7 linked regions of the Cricetulus griseus genome follow. The protein of the gene in region 4 interacts with the protein of the main gene of each other region in a pairwise test. Links are inferred from orthologs where the notes say so. Each region holds a gene or a part of one and is shown on either strand. Other genes may lie near its edges. The genes, in order: Smad9, Fam131c, Dlk1, Grn, Otx1, CUNH22orf39 and nuclear fragile X mental retardation-interacting protein 2.

What was found.
Region 1: the proteins of Grn (region 4) and Smad9 interact in binary tests that used the Homo sapiens proteins (3 or more experiments, as listed by UniProt). The link is inferred for Cricetulus griseus from reciprocal best matches to the Homo sapiens genes GRN and SMAD9.
Region 2: the proteins of Grn (region 4) and Fam131c interact in binary tests that used the Homo sapiens proteins (3 or more experiments, as listed by UniProt). The link is inferred for Cricetulus griseus from reciprocal best matches to the Homo sapiens genes GRN and FAM131C.
Region 3: the proteins of Grn (region 4) and Dlk1 interact in binary tests that used the Homo sapiens proteins (3 or more experiments, as listed by UniProt). The link is inferred for Cricetulus griseus from reciprocal best matches to the Homo sapiens genes GRN and DLK1.
Region 5: the proteins of Grn (region 4) and Otx1 interact in binary tests that used the Homo sapiens proteins (3 or more experiments, as listed by UniProt). The two-hybrid records come from large-scale screens. The link is inferred for Cricetulus griseus from reciprocal best matches to the Homo sapiens genes GRN and OTX1.
Region 6: the proteins of Grn (region 4) and CUNH22orf39 interact in binary tests that used the Homo sapiens proteins (3 or more experiments, as listed by UniProt). The link is inferred for Cricetulus griseus from reciprocal best matches to the Homo sapiens genes GRN and C22orf39.
Region 7: the proteins of Grn (region 4) and nuclear fragile X mental retardation-interacting protein 2 interact in binary tests that used the Homo sapiens proteins (3 or more experiments, as listed by UniProt). The link is inferred for Cricetulus griseus from reciprocal best matches to the Homo sapiens genes GRN and NUFIP2.

What each region holds. Positions count from the first base shown.
Region 1 is NW_023276806.1:96,416,875-96,420,919, reverse strand, and holds the start of Smad9 (mothers against decapentaplegic homolog 9), read left to right. Parts: upstream 1-1,245; 5' UTR 1,246-1,441; intron 1,442-4,045. UniProt on the Homo sapiens protein: Transcriptional modulator activated by BMP (bone morphogenetic proteins) type 1 receptor kinase. SMAD9 is a receptor-regulated SMAD (R-SMAD).
Region 2 is NC_048595.1:11,878,629-11,882,128, forward strand, and holds part of Fam131c (protein FAM131C), read right to left. Parts: intron 883-3,500; coding exon 764-882; intron 1-763.
Region 3 is NC_048598.1:185,357,937-185,361,930, reverse strand, and holds the start of Dlk1 (protein delta homolog 1), read left to right. Parts: upstream 1-1,194; coding exon 1,195-1,261; intron 1,262-2,467; coding exon 2,468-2,531; intron 2,532-2,986; coding exon 2,987-3,117; intron 3,118-3,994. UniProt on the Homo sapiens protein: May have a role in neuroendocrine differentiation.
Region 4 is NC_048600.1:115,672,851-115,676,802, reverse strand, and holds the start of Grn (progranulin), read left to right. Parts: upstream 1-1,152; 5' UTR 1,153-1,225; coding exon 1,226-1,257; intron 1,258-3,663; coding exon 3,664-3,808; intron 3,809-3,918; coding exon 3,919-3,952. UniProt on the Homo sapiens protein: Secreted protein that acts as a key regulator of lysosomal function and as a growth factor involved in inflammation, wound healing and cell proliferation. Regulates protein trafficking to lysosomes, and also the activity of lysosomal enzymes.
Region 5 is NW_023276807.1:84,695,139-84,699,395, forward strand, and holds the start of Otx1 (homeobox protein OTX1), read left to right. Parts: upstream 1-1,457; coding exon 1,458-1,554; intron 1,555-2,397; coding exon 2,398-2,549; intron 2,550-3,901; coding exon 3,902-4,257. UniProt on the Homo sapiens protein: Probably plays a role in the development of the brain and the sense organs. Can bind to the BCD target sequence (BTS): 5'-TCTAATCCC-3'.
Region 6 is NC_048597.1:70,360,804-70,364,949, forward strand, and holds the start of CUNH22orf39 (UPF0545 protein C22orf39 homolog), read right to left. Parts: upstream 2,801-4,146; 5' UTR 2,717-2,800; coding exon 2,663-2,716; intron 2,571-2,662; coding exon 2,403-2,570; intron 519-2,402; exon of another isoform or gene 384-518; intron 338-383; coding exon of another isoform or gene 233-337; exon of another isoform or gene 55-232; intron 1-54. UniProt on the Homo sapiens protein: Negatively regulates long-term potentiation and modulates adult synaptic plasticity. Stabilizes the interaction of RTN4 isoform A/Nogo-A with its receptors, inhibiting clustering of postsynaptic AMPA receptors at synaptic sites.
Region 7 is NC_048600.1:91,081,813-91,085,898, reverse strand, and holds the start of nuclear fragile X mental retardation-interacting protein 2, read right to left. Parts: upstream 2,801-4,086; 5' UTR 2,706-2,800; coding exon 2,399-2,705; intron 1-2,398. UniProt on the Homo sapiens protein: Binds RNA.

The sequences.
Region 1 (4,045 bases), on a different chromosome or scaffold from region 4:
CCCACCAGGTTTTACTGTTTTATCTCCCTAACCTTTTTGGGAGTAACGTCCAGAAAAGGCAGAGTACACACACTTAGAGGCCTGCCCCACACCTACCCTCCAGAGAATTCTGTGGATTCACAGCCTCCGTGGCAGAAGCATGAACCAGCCTATCAAAGGTTTCTCACGGCTTTGTGCTCCCAGAGAAGGAGGAAACTGATTGGATCAGTTCTTTAATATCATTTCTGGGGAAGGGGTGGGTGGGTGTTGAGGCACAAGTTATCAATTCAGAGAACCTAATTAGTTTACTTGCCTCTAGGTGCACATGAAATTCTCTCATCCAGTCCATGACTTTCAGTGGTCCCCACACTGGACAGTATTTTTTCTGGGGTGTTTTTCTCTCCCAGGGCAATCTCACACCCAACACCTGGCCTGCAGCAGGGTATATGGACCAGCTGTAGAGAGATACTTCCAGTTTGAAGTTCAAGTATCATTTACACTTCTGCAATATATTTTAAGCAAAGCCTTCTTCAGCTACCCTTGGATGATGATGCAAAAGTGACATGTTCCAGAAAGTGGTGGTTTTAGGGTTAGGGGAAGAAGTCCAACCTAAGGGCTTTTGTTTACATTTCCAAGGTGCTTTGGCCTCTTGGGGGATGCTTACAGTGTGGAACTAACTGAGATGGCCAATGCCATTTTGAAAACCTCTGTCTTTTTGAAAACCTATAAGGTTTGGTGGGGGAATCAAAGGCTTTCAACACACAGGTGCCACTTCCCAAGTGACATTTTAAAGGCAGGCGACCTAGGGGGCAGCCAGGCAGCTGGGCAGGAAGGTTCTTTGTGCCCATGATGTATATCTTGAGTATTAGACAGTATGTATTATACACTGCGTAAGAAATCACAGTCCACAACATTACAGCACTAGTTTGAAACTCCACTGCCACTCAGCCAGATTTTCTTGGGCTGGTGCCAGGCAAGTTATGCCTCGGATACAGAGATAAGGAACAGCTAAGCTAGCCAGTAAGTGTGGCCTCAAGGGACCAGGACTGGAGCCACATATGGTTGGTGGTCCTGTCTGCCTCTGGGTGGGTGGGTGGGGGGGACTGGCCCCCTCTCTCCACTGCCTGAGGTCCAGGTGGGGAGGACACCTCGGGGGATGACCTGGAGATCCCGCTGGCCCTGAAAGCCATTTGCAGAGGCCATGCGCAGGACGAGCGGGTGCGCAGCTCTGCGGGCGGGGAGCGCGGCTCGGCCAGAGCGCACGGCCCCTCCTGGCTGGGGCTGCGCGCACGGCAGCCTGGCGCCCTTCCAGTGCGGCGCACTCACGCGGGCGGCCGAGGAGGAGGCTCCAGCCTGACTGACGCCTCTGGAGCCGCTGTCTCGGTCCCGCCGCCGCCCGCCCGGGCCCTGCAGCTACCGCGCAGCCCGAGAGCGCGGGGCACGCGTGGCACCACACGGACAGGTAAGCGCTGCCACGCCGCGAGCGTGGGCACCTGGGAGGCCTCTGAGGTTCTCTGGCATGGGGCTTGGCTCTCCCTGGAGCCTGGGTGGCGAGTGTAATGTGCGAGGTCTCCGCGGCAGCCTGGCACCTGGGACCCATCCCGGGGACGCGTGACCCGGGGTGTGGGCAAGGATGCAGGATGCGCGTGGACCAAGTGCAGAGGGATGCACACTGTCCTGCACCCAGGAGCAGGCGCTCTGAAACCCTGATTGGGGCAGTAGCCCTTTGCTGGGGAGTTGGGGACAGCAGAGGGGCGAGTGTGAGTGTGTGTAAGGTAGTCTGGGGGGAGATTTTAAAACTCCAGGGCGCCTTTGGCCATGAAGCTTTATTTCATACTCCTGTAATTTTTTCCTCTCTGCTTACCTTTGAGGCACACACAGTGAGAGAGGAAAAAAAAAAGTTAGGAATGTTAAGTGTCTGTAGCTAGCGCTTGGGTTGTGTTTGTCTTCTCCTGGGCCTACCATTGGGTGCCAGCTCTGCGCAGACGGGAGGGGGCGAGGTGGGGACAGATGCAGGCGACTGACTGACGCCGGCCTTGTGATGGGGAGGAGGAGCGTGGGGAGCCTTCTTATGGGTGGTTAATCGCCACACTCTTCTTACTCCTTCTCCTCCCTCTCTCTCTCGGCCGTGGCAATTGAAAATGATAGTTTTGAGGTCCTCCGCTGGGATATTTCTTGGCTAAAACTGGTAATTTTGAGAAATAACCTACAAATGATGTGGATCTCGTTTTGGAAGCAAATTGTATGTAATTCGGTTGAATGCATGCCATGGAACACTAGGAATTACTTTTAGTGGATCCAGTTCACAGTGACCGTGCGGCGGCTTGCTAGGTTCCTGTAAAAATTTAGCTATCAGGGAGAGCAGAGAATAACGGTAAGGTCGTTGGCCCTTTAAGGATGGCGCTTCCTAGGCAGTTCCTCAGGAATATTTGTGGTTGTGAAATGTGCTAGCCTGCCTGTCAATGCCCTCGGATGTTTACATGTAGAAACTATTCATTTATATTTAAAAGGCAAGTGAAAATACAGCTCAAGCACACTCTACAGCAAATGACCAGCATTCATAGCTCTGCTCCTAGGAAGGCGGGAACTCGATTTTGGATCACTTTCAAGTCTATGATTGGTAATCCAAGGACATCACAGATAAGAAACCGGTGTGGTGGTTTATAAACAAGGAACATTTAAAATGTGATAAGATGACCAATATTTCTGAAAATAGCTTCTAGTGGTAAGGCTTCTTGATGGCAAGTCAGCTTCCTGAAAGCTGGCCTTTGCTGGATCTGTCCTGATACTGCCAGCCCCCACTTTTATGCTTGAGCGGATGGCTTTGTCAGGGGTTCCCTCCCCGCCCTCCCCCCAGCCCCTCCAGTTTGGAACTCTGCTTAGGAGAATGCTGGCATAGTCTGGATGCAGCCAGCTCACTTACTAGTAGTATTTTCTAAAAAGCAAAGACAAATTAAGGTCTTAAGCAAATTAAGCACCTTAAACATGAGGCAGTTGGTGTTTTCTTTATCAAATATTTTCCTCTTATTTTACATATTCCATAGTTAATGAGAAAATTAGAAGATATTCACCAGTATCAGCTACTGCGTCTCTGATAACCTAAGATATAGGAAGAAAATGCTAAGCAATACAGGAGACTGCTGTATTGCTTAGCATTCCCACCCCGTTTTATAAGAAACTTCACCACAGACATAGAAGCACTGAATGGATGGTAAATTTGTGTATTCTTTCTGATCATGTGGTCAAATTGGAGGAGAAAAAAAACAAGAAATTGTTCTTTCACACAAATAAAACAATTTGAGATCAGTTTTACAAATAATTGAATGCTGATGAATGAGAGTGCAATGTTTGCTGCCAAGTTGAAGAGAGATGGTTACTGCATCATTAAGGCAGCCAATGATATCTGACCTTCCCTCTCCACTACAAGAAAACAATTTCATCATAGTCTGCTTTAATATCCAGGAGATGCTCCAGTGGTGGGAAGGTCAGGGTTCTGATCAATGAATGTTCTTGGTTTTTATTTTTTTGTAACATCTGACATTAAATCCTAACATCTGAACAAAACTTGGGGGAGACTCCTGTTTATTTTTGTGAGCACTTAGGAATTCAGAAATCGGGGTGTATGCAGAATATCCAGTAAATTGGGTGTATATTGAAAATACAAATCTCAAATTGTTATAATCCTTGACTTTGGGTTTTTATTCCCTTTATTACTGTTGCTAGTGAATTGGCAAGCTGTCCTAAATCAAGGGAGGCAGATGCTTACATCCTAATTTTGATGGTGTGAGTAGGCAGTGGTGTGCTATGTTAACTTGATGAATGTTTGTGTAGGAATAGGAACATAGCAAAAATAAACAAACATCCCCTGGCAATTAACTAGGCCTTAAAAGCAAACATTCCTGAAAATTATGTCTGTGCCAACTAAAACCATTTAAAGATAATGGCCAGCATTAGATGTCACCAGGGCTGTGAAAACTGTGTGCTCATCTTCATGCACACCGGTGCATGTTGAACCCCAGGTACCCTTGTCTGCACACTCAGGTGTCCTCTGCCAGGCTTATTTTCT
Region 2 (3,500 bases), on a different chromosome or scaffold from region 4:
AGGCCAGGCAGCACAACATAGTGAAACCCTGTCTCAAAAAAAAAAAAAATCAAATAATAATGATGAAACAAAAAATAGAAAATAGCATCTTGAGGCTAGAGAGATGGCTCAGTAGTTGAGAGCATTTGTTGTTTTCCCAGAGGACCTGGGTTCAGTTTCCCAGCACCCACAAGGTAGCTCACAATCATCTCTAGTCTCAGGGGATCCAATGCCCTTTTCTGGCCTCCACAGGTACTGCATACAAGCTGTGACCATAGACACATGAAGGCAAAAACTCATACACATAAATTAAAAATAAAGAAATCTTTTTTGTTTGTTTTTTGAGACAGGGTTTCTCTGAAGCTTTGGAGTCTGTCCTGGAACTAGCTCTTGTAGACCAGGCTGGTCTCGAACTCATAGAGATCCACCTGCTTCTGCCTTCCAAGTGCTGGGATTAAAGGCGTGAGTCACCACCGCCCAGCCCTGATTTTACTCTTGAGAAGCTGTTGTTAGTTACTAAGCAGAACTGGGCTGGCAGTGGAACCTACTGTCTGCAAGGCTGAGTTAATTTGGGCAGGAAGACCTCTGGGATGGTATTGTGTTTTCTAAATAAGTCTGGCACCCATCCAGCTGAATGCCAAGCCCTTGGGTCCCCTATTACCCAGGAAGAAACTGGGGTTGGCAAGGAAGAAGGGAGCCAAGAATGGCCTCTGCTTGCCCTAGAGAGATAAAAGAGCAGCTGGAACCAGGGCAGGCAGGAGGAGGGTGATGAGTGGCCGGTTACCTTGCCAGCAACACGGTCTGGAGCCATGACAGGTGGATGAGGGCTGGAGGGCAGATCCCGATTCAGGAGGGCTGTGCCCTGTGACCTGGGGCAGTCTTTGTGGGCACTGATGAACAGATCTGGAAATAAAGATGACAGGAGAAGTTAAAAAAAAACCCTCTGACTTAGCCATAGTAATTAGGCAGGGGAAGACATAGGCACATCTGAACTGAAAAGGAGGGAATATGTTTTACCTACAGAAAAACTAAAGACAGCCGGGTGGTGGTGGTGCACACCTTTAGTCCCATCTCTCGGGAGGCAGAGGCAGGAGGATCTCTGTGAGTTTGAGGCCAGCTTGGTTTACAGAGTGACTTCCAGGACAGCCAGGGCAGTTACATAGAGAAACCCTGCTTGGCCATAAAAAATTTTTTTTAATGTTTTTTACCCTTCTGCAGTAACAGATTAATATACAAACACATTCTACAACTATACAGAGATATTTCCTTTTTACTTTGAGACTAGGTGTTTGTGTGAGTGAGAGAGAGAGAGAGAGAGAGAGAGAGAGAGAGAGAGAGAGAGGGAAAGGGAGAGGGAAAGTGTGTGTGTGTAAGCTAGAAGACAACCTTGGGTGTTGTTCTCCAGGCACTGTCTTTATTTATTTATTTATTTATTTATTTATTTATTTATTTATTTATGAGGCAAGGGCTCTTACCAGACAGGAACTTGCCACATAGGTTAGGACACCTGGCCAGTGACCCTCTACCTCCCTCTGGCCCTAGCACTGGCACTGCAAGTGCAGGCTATCTTGCCTGGCCTCCTAAAGTGGGTTGGGGGAACAGAATGTAGGTAAGCTGCCAACTGAACATCTCCCCAGTCCGAACTTCACCTATTTTATTGGCCACAGCAGCCCCTGCACCTGCCACAGGGCCCAGCACACAGCAGGATCTCATAGGGGCTTCACAAAGGGCTTCACACAGCAGCACAGCAAAGCCAGACTTTGTTGCAGGCAAACAAAAGCAGCTGGGCTCTGTCTCCAGGCATACTCCACTCTAGACGCCAACGGGTCAGGGAAGAAAGGGGTCCCGACAGAGGAAGGGCCCAGGGCTCACACGGCAGGCACATCCAGCCCAGCTGGAGGGAGTAAAGCAAGTATGGACCTGCATTCAAGGAGACTTTTCAGCCAAATCGCATCCTGAAAGAGGCCAAAGGATCTGGGACCTGCCCCAAGGCTGGAATGCATGGGCCAAGGCAGGGAGGCTGGAGCCAGGCTGTCTGGGACACCATAGGAGAGGAAGGCAAGGTGATGGTCAGTGTCTCTCTTGCCCCAAAGTGACCCAGACATAAGGAGGGCAGGGCATGGAGGACCACATGGGTTCTGAGAATGAGGGCTGGACCATGTGCACACAGCAGGCAGTCCCCAGCACAGCCTGCTGTGTGCCAGTCCTGGCCGCGTGACCCGAGTTAATGTTGCTCTTCTCGGGGCTCCAGGACCTCCCATCTTTACAAAGGAGGACTCAATGGCAGGGCAGGGGCCGCGTCCTTCAGTGGCTTGTCCATTCATCAGGCTTGTTTTTCACTTATTTGCTGCTTACTTACTTGGCCATTTATTTGAATGGTCTCCAGCCAGAGACCAGAACTGACGCCTTATACATGCTGAGAAGTGCTCTTACCACTGAACTACACCCTCAGCCCTCTTTTCACCAGGTCTGTTTAAAAAATAATAAGATAAATATTGAGTAGAATAGAGTGGATATCATCAGAGCTGGAGGCAGCCTCAGATCATTCAGTCTTGTGTTGTGGAGCTCCTATGTGTCACAGGCACATAGGTGTGTGTGTGTGTGTGTGTGTGTGTGTGTGCGCGCGCGTGCGCGAATTTGCACAGGTGAGAATTTTCTAGATGTGTATACTGGATCAAAATGCAAAATATATTTGTTCCTACAGGTCTGCCTTAGTTACTTTTCCATTGTGGTGCTAAGATACCATGACTAAGGCAACTTATAGAAGAAACAGTTGACTGGGGATTAAGGTTTCAGAGGTTCATGACCATCATGGAGCAGATCGTGGCAGCAGGCAGGTATGACGCTGTAAACACGGCTGAGAGCTCACAACCTGATCCACAAGCACAAAGCAGAGAGAGAGCTAACTGGGAATAGCATGGACTTTTAAAACTTCAAAGCCTGTCCCCATAACAGGCCTCCTCCTGCAAGGCCAAACCTCTCGATCCATCCCATACAGTTCCACTAACTGGGGACCAAGCATTCAAATATATGAGCCTGTGGGGGCCATTCTCACTCGCCTCCAGGTCTAAAAATTACAGTTTGAAAGCTCAACCAGCAAGATGCCTCAGTGGGTTAAAGGTGCCTGATGCAAAGCCCGATGATCTGAGTTCCATCTCTGAGAGTCATAGGTGACAGGAGAGAACTGACTCCCAGTTGGTCTATGACCATCACACATGTAAGGTCACATGTGCACACCCACATACAAACACATAGCAAACAGGTAATAAAAATTAGGGGCTGGAGAGACGGTCTAGTGTTTAAGAGCACTGGCTACTCTCCCAAAAGACCTGGGTTCGATTCCCAGCACCTACATGGCAGCCCACAACCACCTGTAGCTCCAGTTCCAGTGGCTCTAATGTCTTTCCCCAGGTCTCTATGGGCACTAGAGACAGACATGATGCACACACATACATGAAGGCAAAACTCATATAAAATAATTTTTTTCAAATTAATTTAATTTTTTTTAAGTTTGAAAGCTG
Region 3 (3,994 bases), on a different chromosome or scaffold from region 4:
TGGTTGATTGCATTTGGAACACATTGGTGAGACCAGAGTCTCTGTGAACCAAGATGGATTCGATTGTGTGTGCTTTGGTGGTGGGGGGGGGGTTGTGTGTTGGGTGACCCCACGAATCTGAGACAGTTTGGGGGACTGGGCACAGGTGTTCCTATCAGGTGTGTAGCCTTAAATGTTGGAAAGAGGCAGCGGATTTTATGTTTCAGCACGCTAAGGCCCAGGCAGGGGCTGCAGTACCTGAATGAGGGGAGGGGGAGAGGGTGACGCACGATGTCGTCGGTGTTCACCAGTGGTCTCCTGTGTTTACAGGCGGGCTGCGTGCAGGGGCAGCACAGGCAGCCTTTCATAGCTGGCGCTTCCCCTGCTTGGAGCCAACGGACAGTTCCTGCTGCCCACCGCTCAGCGACCTGTGCCCCAGGGAGGGGTATTAAGGCGTGCTTGTGTCAAAGGTGTGTTTGGGTTGGGGCTCCGTGGGGCGAGTGCACCTGCACCTTCCCCAAACTCCACAATGGCAAGGCTCGTCGGGGGGTTTCGGCTTTTCGTGGTGGTTTTCGTGTGTGCATCTCTGATCATGTGCATTTTCCACATCTTTGTGGTGTGCGTTTGGGTCCTTCTGGGCTTTTGACCCGCGCGCCATGTGGGCGCGGGACCAAAGCCCTAAGGGTCTTACTATGTCTGTGAGCGTTTTGTATTCTGAGAGCATGCTAGGGCTTTCGCCCGCCCGCCCGGCTTGGTTCCTGAGACTCGCGCTAAGCCGGCCTGTGCGAGCGCCGCCACCGCCTCCACCGCGTGCTGTCCTGTGTGAGGACCGCGTGCCCATCGTGCGCAGGTACCCGTCTAGCCAAGAGTGAGCCCGCGTGCGCAAGCCGCTTCCGGGCGCCCGGCTCTCGGGGGGGCGGCCCCGCCAGGGGGTGGGTCACCGGGACTGGCCGGCGCCTGCCCCGTGCGCGCGAGGCGTGGGCGTGGGCGGGGGCCGCGGGGGGGGACCGACAGTACGAAAAGGCGGCGCGCGGGCCGCTGCCGCAGCTCCTCGGCGCCCCGCACCTGGTAGCGTGCGCCCCAGAGCAACCCTGGCTTTCCCTCCGCGGGACATCGGTGCCCCCTTCATCGTCCGCAACCAGAAGCCCAGTGCAGCCCCCGGAGCCCCCTCTGCACCGCCGCCGCTCCCCGGACCACGACCCAGGCCACCCCGAGATGACCGCGACCGGAGCCCTCCTGCGCGTCCTCTTGCTCCTGCTGGCTTTCGGCCCCAGCACCTATGGTGAGCTCCCCTGGCGGCTTGGCTCGCGCCCCCTCTGGGGAAGCCTGCGATGCCCCGCCGACCACCCCATGCTCCCTGTCCCGTGCGCCCTAAGTCCCGCCCGTCCCGCCTAACCCTAAGCCCCCCACCCTCCCTGCGCCACTCTTGCGTGCCGAGCCCAGTCCTGGGGTCCCGGGGTTTGCGGGAGGTGGAGGACCCCAGCCCCTTCTTGCCCGGCAGAAGTGGCGTTCGGAGGGGTGTCGTTGCGTGGATTGAGGAGGTATGGAAAAGGGGGGGTGCTCTAGGAGGTATTTTATTTAAGAAAAAGAAAAAATAGGCTCTGGGTGCAACTTTGGGGGTGTCTGTCCTGCTTATGTGCTTAGGAACAGGTCTTGGGGGCTTTGGGGGGATGACTTTGCAGTTGTAGCCCCCAATTCCCAACAGGAGCAAAGCAGGAGCCCCTCCTGCGTGGCGCGTTTTCTCTAGGTGAGGGGCTGCGACACTTCTGTCTGCAGCGGCCATCTGTCACTGGCAGCGAGAGAGTTGCCCCCCTTCCCGCAGCGACCCCAGCCTCCACTGCACCAATGGTTGTGTGTGAGGGGCGGGGGTGCTGTCTGGAAAGCCCAAGAGTGGTTGAGTAGTTGCATACAGTAGGTGTCTATTAGGGTTGGAGGCCCTGCAGAGCTGTTGCGCAGTTCTTTTAATGTGACTAGCGAGGGGCGGGGGAGGCAGGAGAGACAGGAATTGGCTGTCTGATGTAACTGGGGTTAATCTTGGGGGGGAAATCTAGTCACTACCTGTGAGCCAGGCAGGTGGACTTGTCTGAGCTATTCCAGAGACCTCAAAATCTCCCCCTTTAGCTCACTTGGCAAAAGCGAGGGCTTGCCCTAATGCCTGAGGGTCAAGTGCTGACTCTTCATTGCCCCCTATTCCTACTTTTAATGGTCTGGGGGTTCCTATTTTATTTGGAGAGAAAGGTGTCTGTTTTGCACTTGGAGAATCACGAGTATGCTGTGCTTATCCCATGGCTAGAAACACACAGGATTGTTTTTCTGGGTAGGTCAGGCCACATCCAAGAAGTGCCTACTGTGTGCCAGGCTGGAAGGATCCAGGAGAGGGTCTTTGGATCCCCCCTGCTGAGGAGCAGTGGGCCACGTGAGAGGAAATGGTCTCTGCAGGTCCTGCAGGCCTTGTGAGGTGATTGCGTACTTTTTTTTCCTTCCTCAGGGGCTGAATGCGACCCAGCCTGCGACCCCAAAAATGGATTCTGCGAGGATGGCAATGTTTGCAGGTAATGGAGTAAGCTGTTTGGGGACCATGGTGGGGTCCTGTGGGGTCTTGGAGCCAGGCTAAACAGAGGGGGGTGCTTTTTTATAAAACTGCGTCACAGCTTTCTTGCTCCTGCAGATAACTGGTGGGGGGGGTGAGAGGAGGCAGGAGAAGGGGGGCCAGGAGAAGCGGGGGCAGGAGAAGGGGGGCATGAGGATTGTCTCACAGGATGAGACCATTGGGGGTCACTGCACCAAATGTGGTTCGTGTGGGGGTCTGGAAGACCCTTGTGTTCCTGCCCTAGAGGATTTTTCTGAGCTTTTCATTCAGGTGACTGCTGTTTGCTCCAGAGACCCACTGGCCTGGCACTGTACAAAGACCACCAAGGGTTCTCCGTTCAGAAGAAAAACAGCCTGAGCCCTCTTTGGACCCCTGCTCCCCTCATGTGCCCCTCTCTCTCTCCTTTTGTTCACACAGGTGCCAGCCCGGCTGGGAGGGCCCCCAGTGTGACCAGTGCATAACCTCCCCTGGCTGCGTCAATGGAGTCTGTGAGGAGCCATGGCAGTGTATCTGCAAGAATGGCTGGGACGGGGACCTCTGCGACATAGGTGGGTACCCTCACCCCTTTTCCCTACCCACTCCCCCTCCCCTCCTGGAGCTACAGCCCTGAACCCCTAAGGCTCTCTGTTTGTAGTATGTGATCTACAGTGCCTATACGTTCCCTGCTGGGCCTCAAGTGCCTATAGTTTGGTCACCTCAGCTCTGTGGGTTCCTAGACTTGGGGAGGGGGTGCTGGAAAACTGCCTGTTGAATAAAGAGTCACAAAATAAAACACAGCATGCCCAGGGTGGCTGGACCAAGGACTGGAGCTACCTGTGCACAGGTTGGTGAGGCTGGAAGATTGGGGTCTTCTGTGTATGCTATGGGAGGGGTGATTCTTGGGGCTCAAACATCAAGAAAGGGAAGGCAACAAACAAATTGGGGAGGGGAGGGGTGACTGATACTGAGTCGTGATGGCGGGTGGGGGGGTGGTGGCTGAGGATGAATCACCAGGAAGGACAAGGGTGGGGGGGGCAGTCAAGTGTTGCAGGAGGCTGGTGGCGGTGGCATAAGGGTTAAAGTGCAGACTGACGTTATCTGCTGATTTCATTAATTTATATAATCCTTGAAAACTGACAGCTGCATTGTTGTAGGACCATTCTCACTTGCCAACCCTGTCCCCAAAGACCAGGCAAACTGAAGGAATAAAGGGTGTGTGCCCACCCCTCCTACCCCAGAGATGATATCCCAGCAGGAAGGCAGACAGCTAGGTGACCCAGGACCTGTCTCCTCAACATTACCAGTGACAAATAGGGAAACCAAGGATCAGAGAAGCAAAGGGGCCTCTGTACCCCGAATTGCCTATGGTCTCCCTCTCCTGAGTGGTAGTGTGGTGGGTGGGGGAAGGTTTTTGCTGCAGCTGACTCACACTGGCCACAACAGCTC
Region 4 (3,952 bases):
AGATACTCCACGTTGGCCTCCACTTTCTGGGATTCCTGTAGCTCTAGCCCAAGAAGCCCACCAGGCTCCTCTCTATGCAAGACTCTTACTGTCCTGGATTTATTCGTAGGGCTGTCCCCATTCCCCTGAGTGGCCTACCAGTCAAGCTCTTTGCTCCTCCCAGGGGACCTATCTTCCACACCAACTCTGCCTTTCCTACAAGGCCCAGCCTTGGGCTTTCCTGGGGCCTGTCCTCTTCCTGGCAGGTCTCCAATCAGCCATTTCTGTCTGGCCCAGGCCCTTTGGCACTCAGCAGCCTGGCTTTTGTTTCTGGCTAATCTGTTCTACTGCTAAAAATCTCTATTCATGGACCATGACAATTCCTCGAAGGTAGGGGTAGCTGAAACTAGGAGGCCTCTTGCACCTCCACAGCCACCAGCCTGCTTCACCAGCCCATGCCACATACTTAGCTCATGCCCAATGCCCTTACTTTGAATGTGGCTTTTAACTCTTGCTAGACACTGTACTCCCCATCTGCTTTCCTAACCTCTTCCGGAGTGCCTCTGTCCCGCCTAACCAGCCCCTTAAAATTCCTCTAGATTCAGTTCAGCGTGATACCATCTCCTGGCTAGCTCAAAGTGGATTTACATCTATTCTTCCCCTACCTTCAGCCAATCTCCTGCCTGGTACTCGCCCTTGAACATTTATTAGATTTAGTATCCCACCCAAATCTGGGGACTGTTTATCTTTACCCTCCCAACTATCTTTCAGCTTGTTTGGAGTCCTGGCTGCCTAGCGTGAAAACAGTGAATGTACAAATGTCCCGATCCAGAAGCCGACGCTATGCTGTAAACGACCTTGAACGCGCGCCCCGCAGGCGCCTTCTTAACTGTCGGTGGCCTTAGGTACGCAAGCCCCATCTCTAGAACACCTCGCCAGGCGCCGCCAGGGCCCTGGGGGGTGGGAGGAAAGCAACCGAACAAGCAAGCGAGGCCCTGGGGGAGGCGGGCTATGGTGTCATATGATTGCCTGGTCACATGATTCCTAGACATGGGGTGTGGGGAGAGAGAGGAAAGGGAGGAGGAGTGTGGATTGAGTAGAAAAGAAACACAGCATTCCTGGAGAGTCCCGCCTCTATGTAGACAAGTAGCCAATGGAAGCCCCGGATTCCCGACCCAGGGCTAATGGAAACTGAGGTGGGCGGGCCATCGGGCAGCCAAGCCCTAGTCCGAGAGCTGACAGCCAGATGCCTCCCAGGGAGTGCGGACCCCGAAGCAGGTAGGAGGACCCGCAGCAGACATCTCCCTGGCTGCTGTCCAGAGGCCTGGCCAGGCTTGCTGTGCAACTGAGGCTGCCCCGGAGCCTCAGCTCAGAGACGAGAGAAGTCCTGCCTCTTGAAACTCCCCTCGGGGTTTCAGATGCACTAACGAGGGTTTGTCATTTGGGAGGAGTGGGAACAGTTGCTGTAGACACCCCCAACAAGAGGCTCCCCTGCCCAGCATGTCGGAAAGCTGCAGGGCTTTCTCCAGAGCAGGAAGCGCCCCACTCTTGGGCCAGCTTCATCTCTCTCGGTGCCTCCCACCTCTTGTCTCCAGGTCCCGGCACTTTCTCATTCTGGTGCCGCCAGTAGTCTTCGCGGCGACTTGCAGTGGGTGGGGATCTCCCGCCCTTGGTCCCAGAGCTCAGAGGAGTTGGGAGCAGGAGTTGGGCGTGGTGGCAGAATCCCTGGGTTGTGTCAGCCGTACTTCCTTTATGGGGGGCGAGAGAGCTAACTTCCGCCTCTCCCCGCCACTTTTCCCTGCTCCTCTGCTGGATTGGCTCACCTTTTGGGAAATTCATCTCCCCTTGACACTCCGGAGTCGGGGGTGCCACCTAGTGGAAGATCTCGAAGCTAGGGCCTTGAAAGGCTCCTCCAGTCCTCTCAGGCTATTTCAACAGAGTGGTGTAGAGGTGGCCAGAGGTCACCACTCCCTAACCCTAATGAAAGGGATTAGGTCTCCCCTACCCCATTCTAATCTGGCCAGGAGATGACCTCTGGGATATTCTTTGAGAGGGTGCTTGAAAACCTAGAGAAGGAAGGGGAGGGGGCACAATGAGGGACAGATCCTCTATGTAGCCCAGGCTGACCTCATAGTCACCCTGTAGCCTGGAATTTGTAATCCTCCCACCTTAGCCTCCCAAGTGCAGGGATCAAAAGCATGTTTGTCATGCCTATCGGAAGCTTTGAGGTCTGGATGTTGGGATTTTGCCTTCCATGGCCACCAGTATTCAGAGTTTGAGGCACAGGAAACAATTTCTGAGGCCCTCAGCAATTGATCAGTGGCAGATTTTACACCGTCCCTGTACCCACCCTTTCTTTTGTAGATTTTTTTGTTTTGCTTTTGTTTTTGAGCAGGATCTTTTTGTCCCTGGCTGTCCTGGAACTTGCTATGTAGACCAGACTGGCCTTGAACTCACAGAGATCCACCTGCCTCTGCTTCTGGATGCTAGGATTAAAGGCGTGTGCCACCACCGTCTGGCTGTACCCACCCTATTTCTATCCTGTGTAGGTCACCTGCCTGGGAAATGTTCTGCCCGCTTCCCTCTGCTTGGACCTCTGGCCTCTGGGATTTGGGGTCCATTCCCTGGCAATGTTCAGGGATGTCAGTTGACATAAGAATCCAGGTCCAATATCTGCAGTCTGTTTTCTCTGACTTGATACCTGGGCATGGATTTGAAAAGTGAAAGTAATCTGATCACTGCTTTGCATAGTTGTGCAGAGAAATACAGTAAGGAAGGGCAAAGTGGCTCCCTGGAGGGTCTTTGAATATTGCTGTTTTTGCTGCCCCAGGCAGGGGAGTGTCACTCTGGGTTGCTGGGTAGGCCAGCTGTGCTGGGGAAAGACTTATTAGGGAAGTGAGAGACTCGGTTCCTCCTGCTAAGGCAGAGGGCCAGTGAAGAAGTACACTTAACTTTGCTCTTGCAGCTGAGTTTCGATTTCTGAGTAGGGAGAAACAGGTGGTATGTTTGAGGAGTCCAAAGGAGTCCTGGTGATGCTGAGGAGGGCTGGTTATGAAATTAGCTTCAAGGCTAATCCAGCCACCATGTGCCCTTCCCCTGGGTGGGGAGGGGACAGTTGTGGGCAGGCAGTGGCTGGCCTGTGGGAAAGGCAGCCCAGACTCCCCTGGCCACTGCACTTCCGTTTTCACAACTTTCTCAACCCCTGGTTTCCCATATGATCATGTGATTGACAACTCTGTTTCCCCAAGGCCTTTGAAAAGTACATGTGGGAGTTCAGTGCCAGGCAGCGAGGTGAGGCTGGCTGTCCTCTTGTGGCCGCTGAAGTCTCCTCCCAGTTAGCCCACAGTCCCATAAATCAAAGCCACATGGCTTCCTGACTGTCATAACTCCGCGCCTCTCCAGTCGCCTATAGTGTCAGGTGTTAGGCCAAGTGTGATGACATGATGGACACTTGTGTTCATGCCAGCATTCGTGCTCACCGTGTGTGCAAGCTGGTGCAAGTGTGATGCTTACAGTGTAGGATGCTGACTCAGGCAGCTGCTTGCCTTCCTGCTCACTTGTTGAGAAGTTTCAATAAATCCAAGGCATGTCATGCCTTGGCCAGGGCATGGGGAACTGCATGGACTCAGAATAGAAGGTGGCATAAGCTTAAGATGGCTGCCAAACTTTCCTTGGCATTTGCAGGCAGACCATGTGGACCCTGGTAAGCTGGCTGGCCTTCATGGCAGGCCTGGTGGCTGGAACACAGTGTCCAGATGGTCAGTCGTGCCCTATTGTCTGCTGCCTGGACCCCGGAGGAGCCAGCTACAGCTGCTGCAACCCTATTCTGGTGAGTGTCTCACGCCCCAGCTGGCATCCTGGCCTTTTGAAGGGTTACCTTGGATTGGCCAGAAGAGGTCTGGCACAGATCCTCTGGTATATGTCATTGCTTCTTTCCAGGACACATTGCCTATGGTAATGAGCGATCGTCTAA
Region 5 (4,257 bases), on a different chromosome or scaffold from region 4:
TAAGTTAGATCTAAGTATTCGAAAACTCACGCAGCACCTTCGCAGAACCGCGGCGGCTGGTGGCCTGTGGTTCTCCGGCCCAAGTGCGCTGTTTCCCTTGTGGTTCCGTCCGCCTTCCGCGCCTGCTGGTCTCCCTTAGTCCAGGCCGCGGGACCCCAAGGACCGAAGCAGGGGTTGGAGTTGGGATGGGAAAGCTACTTAAGTCCTGCCTCCTTTTTCCCTGAGTTCCCACCCTGGGCTCCCTGTAAAGCCGGGTGTAGCTAGAAGCCCCCCTCTCGGGTCCCAGCCCTACCCCCCCAGAACCCCTTCTTCCGCTGGAGAAGAGCGCCAGGGGCTCGCAGTGTCTTCGGCCGAGCCTAGCGCTCCCAGCTTGGGTGTGCGGGAGCTTTCCGACTTGAGGCCTAGTTCTCTGCTCTCCACCGAGTTCAGGAGAGGACGGCGAGGAGCCCACGCGATCCAGGGTGCTCTGGCTTCTGAACTCCCCAGCATGCTTTGAGCCGCTGGGCTGGTCATCCTTTATCAGACCCTGGTGGGACTCGGTGTGCTCTCTCGGACTTGGTAGAAAGAAGGTCGGGCCTGCGTGGGCTTAGGAGGACGGGTGACCGTCTTTGAGGCACCCCTGACCTTGGGCGGCTTCTTGAAACTGCCACTTCTACTGTGGCGCCTTTGGCATCTTCTCGCCGCCTCACCCGGGCCTGGGCCACATCTACCCTAGAAGTGCGTTGAAATTCCGGTTCACCCATCTCCTAGCGTCAGGGGCCCAGAGAGGTCAGATAGAATGGTGATTGGGACTCTGGGGGAGGGGGCTGCTCTGGAGATCTCTGAAGGAATGATGTGACCAAAATGGGCAGTTGCCTGGGCGATCCAAGGGGTACTAACCTTGGACCTCTGTAGTGCCAGCGGTTTTGTCCCTCTTTCAAAAACATTTGAAACTTAAACAAAATAACCCGGTACGTACGCTCTGTACGGCCTGCCATCCCGGCGCCAAGTGAACATTTGCTTGAGCAAATTGCTTCCGCAGCACTAAAAAAAAAAGACTACACTTGGGATTTTGCACCCTCCCCGGTCCCGGCTCTCACCTCCTCGGCCTGATCGCGCTTTTAAGTTTTCTTTCCTGTTGACACTCAAGGAGTGTCTTTGGCCCTTGTCAAGCCCTAAAAGAGGAAGGAACGATGTGGGGAAAGTTTACTTTTCTAAGAAGCCGGCTTGCTGAGCTTGGAGGAGAAATTTCTTGGGTTGCCTGCCCTGTTAAGTTCCTAGCCTGCCCCCCTCCCCATTCTAGGATTATAGGAACTGAAAGCCAAAGTGACTGCGGGTGACGGTTTCCATGTGTCTCCTGTCTCCTTAGGCCAGGCCCCCAGAAGCAACAGCTTGAAGGACTTCGAAGTGGGAGCCCTGAACTGCTCCTGGCCCCAGGCCCCCTGGATCCGTCGGGGCGCCTCCACCCGGCAGTTAGCATGATGTCTTACCTCAAACAACCCCCATACGGCATGAACGGGCTGGGCCTAGCTGGCCCTGCCATGGACCTCCTACACCCCTCTGTGGGCTATCCTGGTGAGCGGTGGCCCTATGTCCCTACCCCCAAGCCTGTGCAAATATTGGGGGATTCCAGCTTTTAACGTTTGAGCCCACACAGTCCCCAAACAGGCCCAGGGATATGATTATCTCTGTGTCTGTTGCCCAGATCTGCTACAGGCTCTCCGGTTTGAGTTTAGAAACTGTGACCTACAACTTTTGAGCTTGTGGTGCCTGCTCCTGTTGTGGTCTCACATGCTAGAGAAAGCATGTTTGTCCACCGACGTATTTCCCACCGGTTGCTTTTTTAAAAAAATAAAATCTTGCCCGCCCAAACATTTCACGAGGAATCTGGACTCGATAGGCCCTAATGTAAACAGCCAAACTTCCCTTATGTCTAGCTGCCTTGAGAAGCAGAGCTCTTTCTCCCTAGTCAGAGTGCCCTAGAGACCAGGGACCTGACCCAGCTCTTCCGTGGTGGCAGACGACTCCAACTGAACCCCGAATTTATTTTCTGGATCCTACTTCTTTGCTTGAATTTATTCACTTGGAAAGCTTTCCCAGGTCCTGTTTCTACCTACCTCTGTTCTACTTCCTACCTTTCAGCCAGAAGTGGGCTTAGGGAGATGAGGAGGGGATGGCTTTGTTTTTTATCTGAGAGACAAGGAGGGCTGAGGCCCTGATGTTTCTTTCAGACAGGAGCCTCTAGCCCAATTTATACACTTTGCCCCACCTGTGGGCAGGGAAGTTTGCTTTTGCGCGGAGGTCGGCCTTTCCTTTCCATGGCAGGGTTCTGGACCTACCAGAAGACCTGCGTGTGGCCTCTAGCTCCAGTCCTCGAGGTCCACTGCTGACTCCAGGTGCCCTTGTATGTCCCCACAGCCACCCCGCGGAAGCAGCGACGGGAACGCACCACCTTCACGCGTTCACAGCTGGACGTGTTGGAGGCCCTTTTCGCAAAGACTCGCTACCCGGACATCTTCATGCGAGAGGAGGTGGCGCTCAAGATCAACCTGCCAGAGTCCAGAGTCCAGGTGCGTGGTCTTTGGGACTCTAGGATTAGGGTAGGGGCGCTAGGAGCGGTCGGGGAAGATCCGACCTGGGCCATCTGGTGTTGGGGCCCATTCACTGACTGGACAGCCCCTCTCTAACTCCCCCTAGTGCTGGGCTTCAGTCAGCTAAAGGGGGGTAACATTTTAAAAAGTAATGGCTTAGAGCCCAACATCTCTCTAGCCCTTGTCCCCAGGGCGCTTTCATTGTTGAAAGTCGGTTTTTGGATTTTGGAAAGGCCAGCCGTGTCCCCCGGGTGTAACTTTCCCAGAAGGTTAGATAATGGCCCCTGCTTCCTGGCTACAACAGAATTTGGCGTTTTCCTACTGAGCCTTAGCTCTCCTTCCGCTCTTGTCTTTCTTACCCTTCCCTTGAGTCCTGGGGATTCTAAAAGTGCAAGATGGAACTTGGTCACAGCCTAGCGCAATCTGCCTTGGAGTGTGCTCTGAGGGTGGAGTCGGTATGGTTTGGAGTTTTCTCCAGCCGAGTGGAGGCCGAGTGCAAAATCCAGATGCTGGGTTTACTGTTTCTAAAATGAAACAGTTCAGAAAATAGGAGTTCTGAGTTAGTCTAAAACTCTTCCTCGAGAGTCTTTTGTCTCAACTTCTTTCCCTGAAGGCTCGAGAAGGGACTGGGAATGCAATGCCCCGTGTCCGGGCCCCTCCAAAAGGAGTGCGAATTTATGACTTATCGTTCCATTTGGTACCCCACCTGGAGCCAAAAGGCCCAAGGAAACCTCACCCAGGCTTCCTTCACGAGAATCCCAGTACTGGAGTACTGCTTCCGTTCAGTTCAGCCTCCAGCCTTGCTTCTGTTCCCACCCAAATATTTGCCCTGCCCAACTCCAGTCTCCAGGAGCCGACTCGGTGAAACCCCTCGGGCCCCAGACTTGGTGACTGCCCTACTCTCCGATGTTCTGTACTCTCCGCTGTTTCCTGAGCTCTGTTCTTGGAAAACAGGGCCTCCAAACTAAAACGGGGCTGCGGGGAAGCAGCCAACTGCAACAGCTTAGAGATGGCTGAACTTCTGGCTGGACAGACGCAAACGTTCCGCCCTTGGGCAGAGTTGCGCTGGGCTTGGGGAGGTGCGCATCCCTCCTGCGGTGGAGGCTGACTGGGGGCTTTGCGCAGAAGGATGGGGGAGGGAGCCAGAGCTGGGGACCTAGCACGTGCGGGGGAGGGGACAGGGTCTGGCAGGGCCAGAGACTGGGAGGGGTAGAGGCTGGGATTGAGAGGTCCCTGAGATCCTGGGCGGGGTGTGAGTCCGAGGGGCGGAGGAGCTGTGAGCTCCACTAGCCAGCCCCCTGATCCCTTCTCCTTCACCCTGCTCACTGCAGGTTTGGTTCAAGAACCGCCGTGCCAAGTGCCGCCAGCAGCAGCAGAGCGGGAACGGAACGAAAAGCCGGCCGGTCAAGAAGAAGTCGTCTCCAGTGCGCGAGAGCTCGGGCTCGGAGAGTAGCGGCCAGTTCACGCCGCCTGCCGTGTCTAGCTCGGCCTCTTCGTCTAGCTCAGCGTCCAGTGCCTCCGCCAATCCCGCGGCTGCTGCGGCCGCGGGCCTGGGTGGGAACCCGGTGGCAGCCGCGTCCTCTCTGAGTACGCCTACTGCTTCGTCCATCTGGAGCCCGGCCTCCATCTCGCCAGGCTCAGCACCGCCATCCGTGTCCGTGCCAGAGCCACTGGGCGCACCGAGCAA
Region 6 (4,146 bases), on a different chromosome or scaffold from region 4:
CAGGAGAACACTGTGGAAGCTCTCAGGAGTGCAGGGCTCGCCACTTGTCCAGGGGACCACGATTAGGGATATATTTGACCCCACAGCCATCAGGAATGAGCCGTTTCTCAGCAACCATGTCTTCAAATTCATCTGCATTAAACTTGGTGAAGCCCCATTTCTTTGAGATGTGGATCTTCTGGCGGCCAGGAACTTGAACTTTGCTCTACGAAGAGCCTCAATCACATGTTCCTTATTCTGCAGCTTGGTGTGGATGGACATGATGACCTGGCCAATGTGAACCCTGGCCACTGTGCCCTGGGGCTTCCCAAAGGCACCACGCATACCCATCTAGAGCCTAGATTGGGGATATCATTGAGATCAGAAACTTGAGAAACTGAGAAAATTGTCTCCAAGGTCCCTTAGGGCAGCCCATATAGGCGATAGGCTGCATACGCTACCAAGGAGGCTGCTGTTTGCAACCATTGCACACCAGGCTCCCATGGGGAAAGGGACCTGATCGGCTTAATTAGCTGCAAATAATTCATCATCTTAAACAGCAATTTTATTGTGTTCTTTGTTTTTTTTTTAGACAGGATCTCAAGTAGCCCAGGCTGACTGGCCTCATGATCACGATATATGACCTTCAGTTTCTGATATTGCTGCCTCTGCCTCTGCCTCCTGAGGGCACAACCATGTCCATTCTCTGACTTCAGCCATTTGAAAACATCTCCTAGGCTTCAGCTACAGCTGACCTGGAGAGTGTGGAGCAAGCCTGAGAGTGGGGACATGGAGTGAGGAAGAGAGTGTGAAGTTAATTTACTGTTGGACTCGCCGGGCGGTGGTGGCGCACGCCTTTAGTCCCAACACTCGGGAGGCAGAGGCAAGCGGATCTCTGCGAGTTCAAGACCAGCCTGGTCTACAAGAGCTAGTTCCAGGACAGCCTCCAAAGCCACAGAGAAACCCTGTCTCGAAGAAAAAAAAAAAAAAGTTACTGTTGGATTCTGCACAGGGTGTGTGTAAAAGGTCGCCCTCATTATGATATATATATATATATATATATATATATATATATGTCATGTATATAGTTATAGCTCATATATAGTGACAGACAGTAAGTTTCTTGCCATATGAACAAGCTTTCTGCCATGTTTTTTACTTTCACTTATTAGGGGTTGCCATGCTTCTGTTTTCCACATTTTTCAAAATTTTTATTTATTTTTATTTTATGTGCATTGGTATTTTGTTATGGTTGTTGGGTTCCCTGGAACTGAAATTATAGACAGTTGTGAGCTGCCGTGTGGGTGCTAGGAATTGAATCCTGGTCCTCTGGAAAAAGTTAGTGCTCTTAACCACTGAGCCATCTCTCCAACCCCTGTTTTCTGCATTTTACAAAAGAGTTTCGGCAGCTTGTTTTCCACATCGGTTCATTTGTCTGTTTCAGAATGTTTACGAATGTTTTCAACACCTAGCCTCTTCTTCCTTGATCTCCCTACGCTGGCTGTGTCCTGGAGTTTTTGCTCCCCTTTTCCCCATCACACTGCCCATGAAAGCAATACCATTCATTCTCCAGACTGGAGTGCAACCCAGGAAGGCAGGGCTCCTTTATCACCTTTATCAGAGATCGCCCAAAGAGATGACTAGAGACGACTATTTGTTTAATGAATGGCTACAAATAGTCGTCTGAAGCTAGGAGGCACGCTCACTGGCATAGGAAATACATAAAATTTAGGAGCAAGAAGTTCAGAGAGTTAAAAATTCACCAGCCTCCTACCCAAAACTATAAAAGCAGTAACAACGACTGGGAGTGAAGACTCCAGAGCTGCTCGGAAGGCGTGGCAGAGGGGGGTGGGGTGGGGAGAAGCTCCAAGGATCACTGTGCTGGGCCTTAAGGGAATGCTGCTGCCTTTTGAGTCACCATGCTCCAATTAGTGACCCAACAAAGTCATTGGTTCACCAAGCTAGTTTAAGTGGAAGTCTTTCTTTGGTTCGTCATTCCACATACTATTCAGAGTTAAGGAGAGGTTTCTTCACACCTCCTAGAGAAGGTCCAGCCTCAGTACTGGTCACTGTCCTCTACAGTAATCTCCATGCTCTCAGAGCTGGGCTGGCCTTCCAAAGGTAACTGCAATCATACGTGCCTGAACATTTTTAGGTACTCTCAGGTTCATTCGTATGCCCTGAACAGCTCATCCGCATGTTCCAGGCACCTTGGCTCTTTTCTTCCTGCATCCTGTCCCCAAGGGCGGGCTGATGACCCTAAGGCTGGACGGTTGTCCTCCTCCCCAAGCCTCTCTATGCCTCCTTTCTTTCTGCCTCCCTCCTTGTACTCGACGTCGTTTGGGGGTACTTCTCGGGAGGGAAGCTCGAGGGGGATGTCCCCGAGGGATCTGTGCACACACCCACCCACACCCTGCTCGCACCTGGGCCTCGGGGCTGCGGCTCTCCTCCCATTCGCGGCAGCTGGCCAGGTCGCGCAGCCACTGCCTGCAGTCCGGCCGCTCGCCGTGGACGTAGTAGTGGTGTAGGATGTGCCTGGCGCTGCGGCAGAGCTCCCACTCAGAGCGGTAGACCTCGCAGGGCCGGGGAGGCTGCGGGCAGAGACAGCTTGAGCGCGGGCAGACCCGGAACCTAACCCCACCCAGCCCCGCAGCCCCGCAGCCCCGCAGCCCAGCACACTCACCTGCCAGCTGCCGGCGACCGCCATGTCCAGGCCCCGTGTGACTGACAGAGACATGAACCAATGAGCTCCAAGTAAATTCACAGCTAAACAGGACGTCTTCACTGAGTGGGCGGATTGTTAGAGGCCTCACCAACTGATGTCTGGCGGGTGACTTGTCTTCAAAGCCTTGTAATTGACAGCCTGAAACCCGGCAGTTTCGGCCAGCTCTCCCGGTTTTTATTTTTCAAATCTCGGTGTGCCTCAGCTTTCCAAGTGAAGACTCTGAACTCCGAATAACCCACCTGGCAGTCTGAGACTAAAGGGATCTGGTCTGAGCATACACTAAGGTGTAGATGAGCTTTATTTGGTGTGTGGAAAGGAGGGGGCAGGTGCGGGGTGGCTAAAAGTGAAAGGAATTCTAGAGGCGGCCGGGCTCTGCGGTGCACACTTTTAATCAAAGCATTTGGGAGTGAGGCAAAAGCAGGGGTTCAAGGCCAGCCAGGGATATACCATGAGACTCCGTCTCAAAAAAAAAGTCAATTTACGGGACTTGAGATTGATTGCTCAGTTAGCACTGACTGACCTTGATTTCCAGCACCCACGTGGCAGCACACTCCCAAGAGAGAGGAGAGGCAGCTTTGGAGCCTATCCTGGCACTCGCTCTGGAGACCAGGCTGGCCTCAAATTCACAGAGATCCACCTGCCTCCCGAGTGCTGGGATTAAAGGCGTGCGGTTCATATCTCTCTCTCTCTCTTTTGTTAAAGATTTTATTTATTTATTTATTTATTTATTTATTTATTTATTTATTTATTTATTACAGTCTTCTGTCTGCATGCCAGCAGAGGGAACCTGATCTCATTCAAGGTGGTTGTGCTGGGAATTGAACTCAGGATCTCTGGAAGAGCAGTCGTCGCTCTTAACCTCTGAGCCATCTCTCCAGCCCACAGTCAGTGTTCTTAACCGCTGAGCCATCTCTCCAGCCCAGGCTCATCTCTTAAGAAGCACTTGTGAACAGAACCAAGGACCTGAGTTTGATCCCTGTATGCCTCAAGGTGGCAGAAGGAATTCCTGAGAACTGTCCTCTGATCTCCACATGCACACACCTGCACATGCAGTCACATATGAGATGCATTCACTTTATGTGTAATAAATATGTATGTGCACCATGTGTACACAGATCTCTGGAACTGGAATTACAGAGGGCTGTGATCCACCATGTGGTGCTGGGAACCAAACCTGGATCCTCTGCAAGAACAAGTGTTTACTGAGTCATCTTCCCAGCTGAACAAAACTTATAGTAGTCAACAGAACTCCACAAATGAAGGCTGCCTTGCTGCTAGTGGAACATCAATGACAGGTCAGGCAGGTACCACAGCATTTATACCTTCCAGAGCCATATTTGGCCAGTGATGATGTATGTGCCAAGAGACAGAAGCCAATTATCATGTTGTTTGTGGATATTTCTCACTAAGAGCAAATGGACACACTAGAGCCATCGGGAAAG
Region 7 (4,086 bases), about 25 Mb from region 4:
TTTTTAAAAGCTTAAACATTTAAGAAAAATGTCAAGACTGTAGTTATTCCTGAAAAATTAAAAATCTGTAGCATTTATTTAGGGCTGCCATGCAAACTCAACTTCAAATGGACTCAGTCAAAACTTGAGTCCTGACAAATCTAGCTTTGGATTTGCCACTGCAACCCACTCAACACATTTTGTCTTCTCTTGTGCCCTCTTCTGGATTCAAAAAACTAGTTTCTCAAAGATTTGGGAGTAATGGGTCATAAAAAGCCATTGAAGCAACAGTACTGTGTGACCAAAACATACATGAAAGACAGATCACCCCCAAACCCTCAACAGTTTCCCTCCTTATTCTTCATCCCAACTTAAGACATATTTTGAGGGGTGTCACTTCCAACGGTTCAGGGTCTGCATCACTGTAAATGATGAGTCCTGTGGGGAATACATAAACCTCATAAAACAAATTTAAAATCTAAAAAGTACCATTATTTGACAACCTTAATACTTCCCCACTTTCTGAAAACCAAAATGCAGTGTTACATAATTCCTAAGTTTTCTAGGCTGCTCTAGATCCTTACAATTAAGCACTTAACTTCTACTGCACCTTACAAAAAAAATCTGATATCCGGCATCTGTCTTCAAAGTTACATTGTCTACAGTAAGTTTTTCACCAGTGACTGCTTGAATGCTTAAATGACATGCTGAGTTTAACATTTTTTCTTCCAAGTATTCCCTTCACTACTCTTCAGTTTATAAACTTTTAATCTGCGAATATATAAATTTTGACATTTATTTCTTAAGTATTTCCTCAAGACTTTTACGTTTAACATGTTAAATAAAATTCAGTTTGGGTAACGACATCGGTTTTAAAATGCAGCAAATGTCTTTCACTTTAATATCACCATAAAGTATTGTCCAAGGTAAGATGGTATTGACCCAACCTCACGGACAAGCCATTTCCAGATAATAGGGGACCCAAACTGTCTCTGTTGTCCATCCAAATCAAGTATTTGACTAATCCCTGCAGCCACTACCCATGCCCAGAAGTTTAGGTGCTGTGTGGAAATCAGATGGAACAAGGTTTAAGAGGTTGTTTTCCCTTCTTTTGGTAGGAAAGGCGCTGCTAGAAAGAAAAAAGGCCTAAGTGAAAGCCGCTGAGGCGGAGTCGTGAGCGAACCTGGCAGGAGATGAGATTCCTGTGGCAGAGAAACTCGTGACCCGGGAGCTTGGTTCCCGCTGGGTACCCCACCCGGCCTCAGGCACCGCCTCTACCGAAAATGAGTCCCCCACCTCGCCCCTCCAAGGCCAGCGGAACGCCGTGGCCGCCGCCCGGGCCTCCTTCCCCCTCAAGCTCCTCTTCTAGGCCGGCTCCCCGCCCGGCCGGGCCGCCCGCGCCTCCCGCCGCACCCGGGAGCGGGAAACGCGGCCGTCGGCGCGCGGGTCCACGGTGCAGGCCGCTCCCCTCGTGGCCGCTTCCCTCCCCCACCCAACCGCCACCAAACCGAGGCGGGGGAGGGGCGGCGGGCGCCGGCCGCCCGCAGTGCGGGGGACCCGGCGATGGCCGCCGAGGGTCCCGGGCCTTCGGTCCCAGAGTGCAGTGTGGCCTTGGGCACCCTTCCCCCCTCCGCTCCTCAGCCGGCCCGAGTCGGTGACAGGAATCGGCTTCCAACATGGCGGACAGGAAGCGGCCCCGCGAGGAGGAGAGAACATTCCAGCCTCGCCGGCTCTGAGAGCGGGCCAGGGGCGCCGGCCTCCGGAGAAGCCTCGAGGAGAGACAGCAGGGTCCGGCGCCCGGAAGGGGCGTTTAGGGGTGAAATGACTCGAGGGGAGAAGGGGTCCCAGCCGCCCCCCCCAGACAGCAAACCCCAGGGCCACAGGTGGGCTTGGGTGGCGGGTGAGGGAGGACGCTTCCTCAACTCAGCCCTCAGCCCGGCTCCTCGCTGCCTGCAAGAGGGTCTCGCGACACCACCCGAGCCGGGATTCACTAGGCCCGCCGGAATTACATACACCTCGAGGGAATTTTTTTTTTTTTTTTTGCGGGCGGCCGAGTTTGATCCCTTCTTAGGGCCCCCCACATTCCGGCAACTCCGGGGCCGTAGAAGAGGAGGGGGGAAAAAAAATAAGGTTGTGGACTTCCAAAGCCGACCGTAGAGAGAGGTCTGCCTCCAGCCGGGGCGGGGGCCGGGGAAGGTCACGCTGGCCTGCTTGGGCCTCTCCCATGCTGAAGGGAAGGAGAGGGCGCTGCAATCCCCACCTCGCGGCCCGCGCCCGGGAAGAATGAAAGGGGGCATCCCAGGCCCCGCGGGACGCACACCCCGGCCGGGTCCGCGCTTTTCACATCTAGCCCCACCCCCATCCCCTCGTCGGCCCCCCAGCCCCAGCCCCCCTTCCCCCACCGCCCTCCCTCCCAGACCTGTTTTCTTCTTCGGCGTTTCCTGGTGCTGCTGAAGGGTGTGTTTCTGCTCATGTTTCAGCGGCTTGGGCTGGGCCTTGGGGCTGCCCTCGGCTCCATGCTGCAGGTACTGGTGAGGCTGCTGGTGATGGTGGTGGTGGTGGTGGTTGTGGCTGTGGTTGTAGAAATAATAATGGTGATGGTGATGCGACGACTGCTGCTGCTGCTGCTGCTGCTGTTGCTGCTGCTGCTGCTGCTGGGGGTGATGGTGCGGATGGTGGTGGCTGTGATGGTGCTGAGGCTGTGGCTGGCCGGGCTTCTCCTCCATTGAAAGCGGCTGGGACTCCCTGGCTGAGGCTGCAGGCTGCTGCACCGTCAGGATCTGAGACTGCTTCTCAGCGCTCGCTCAGTATATCTGAGCGCGTCTCGCCAGCGCACTGGTTAAGCGAGCGGATCTGGAAGATTGGCAGCAGCCCTCCAGCAATCAGGAGCCACGCTGCGCGTCAAGCCCCGCCCCTAGCCCAAATCCTCTTCCCTTCCCCTTCGCCGCCGCCGCCTGGCCAACGCCACTTACCCTATGCAACCTCACAGGGCCGGGCCTTCAACGTCAGCATTATGGCTCTCTCTTCTATCGCTTTCTCTCCTTCACCACGCAGTTAGCGAACAGCACTTTCTACACTCCTCACAGGCAAGCAAGCTGATTTCGAGTGTAGCAGATTCCACGGACGATTACTGGCGCTAGGAGCCATCTGTTGGTTTTGCACCTCCTAGAATCTGTTGGGGTGTGTGTGTGTGTGTGTGGTTTTGGATTCTTTTTTTTTAAATCCTTTTCCGGGTAACCAGAGCAGAGGGGGAAGCTCAATTTCCTTAACCCTTAGGCCACGAAAGGGGCAATACAAAAGAGGAAATAAATTCAATTTTAAGAATACAAAACCTTCACAACTCGATAGATCGTTTTTGTATTCTGGATTCATTTTGCTTTGTATTCATATGCTAATCTCTTCCTTTCCACGGAGGGATTATAGGGTTCCACAATGGGGTATCTGTGTAATTTTCTAAAAGGGCACAAAGGGCTTAAATCATTGTTTCTTTGTAGTTGAAGGCAAGAAAGAGGGATGGATGAAAAATATATACTGAAGGGTTTTTTTGTTTTGTATTGTTTTAATTAAACACTACAGGTAAGGTCAACTATGAAACCAAAATAGGTTTTAGATTAAGAATTTTAAGAGTGAAGGAAGGGAGAAAGTACACCTTTAAAAGTTCTTACGATTTTAATTTTTACATCTTTTTGTTTTGCATTTACAGAAAACATTGCAATTTAAAGATGTATTTGCATTCTATGCAGTTAATTCAACTCATAGTAGGAAGAGGGTTGTGATGACAGACACAGAATATCCTCAAAATATATTTTTGTGGGTCTTGGCAGGAGGGGTTGTTTGCTTGTTTTGGATTGGTTTGTTTTTGAAACAGTCTGTGTAACCCAGATTGACTTGGAACTCCAACTAAGAGATCCCCCTGCCTCTGCCTTCTGAGTGTTGGGATTAAAGTCCTACACCACCACACCAAGCCAATATGCTATTTCTTAAAACTACATTACAAGTACACTTGCTCAAATGAGATATATATTTCTCTATGTAGTATAAAGGAAATTTTAAATGTGCAATTTATCATCCTAACATGTTTTTTTGTTTTTGTTTTGTTTTGTTTTA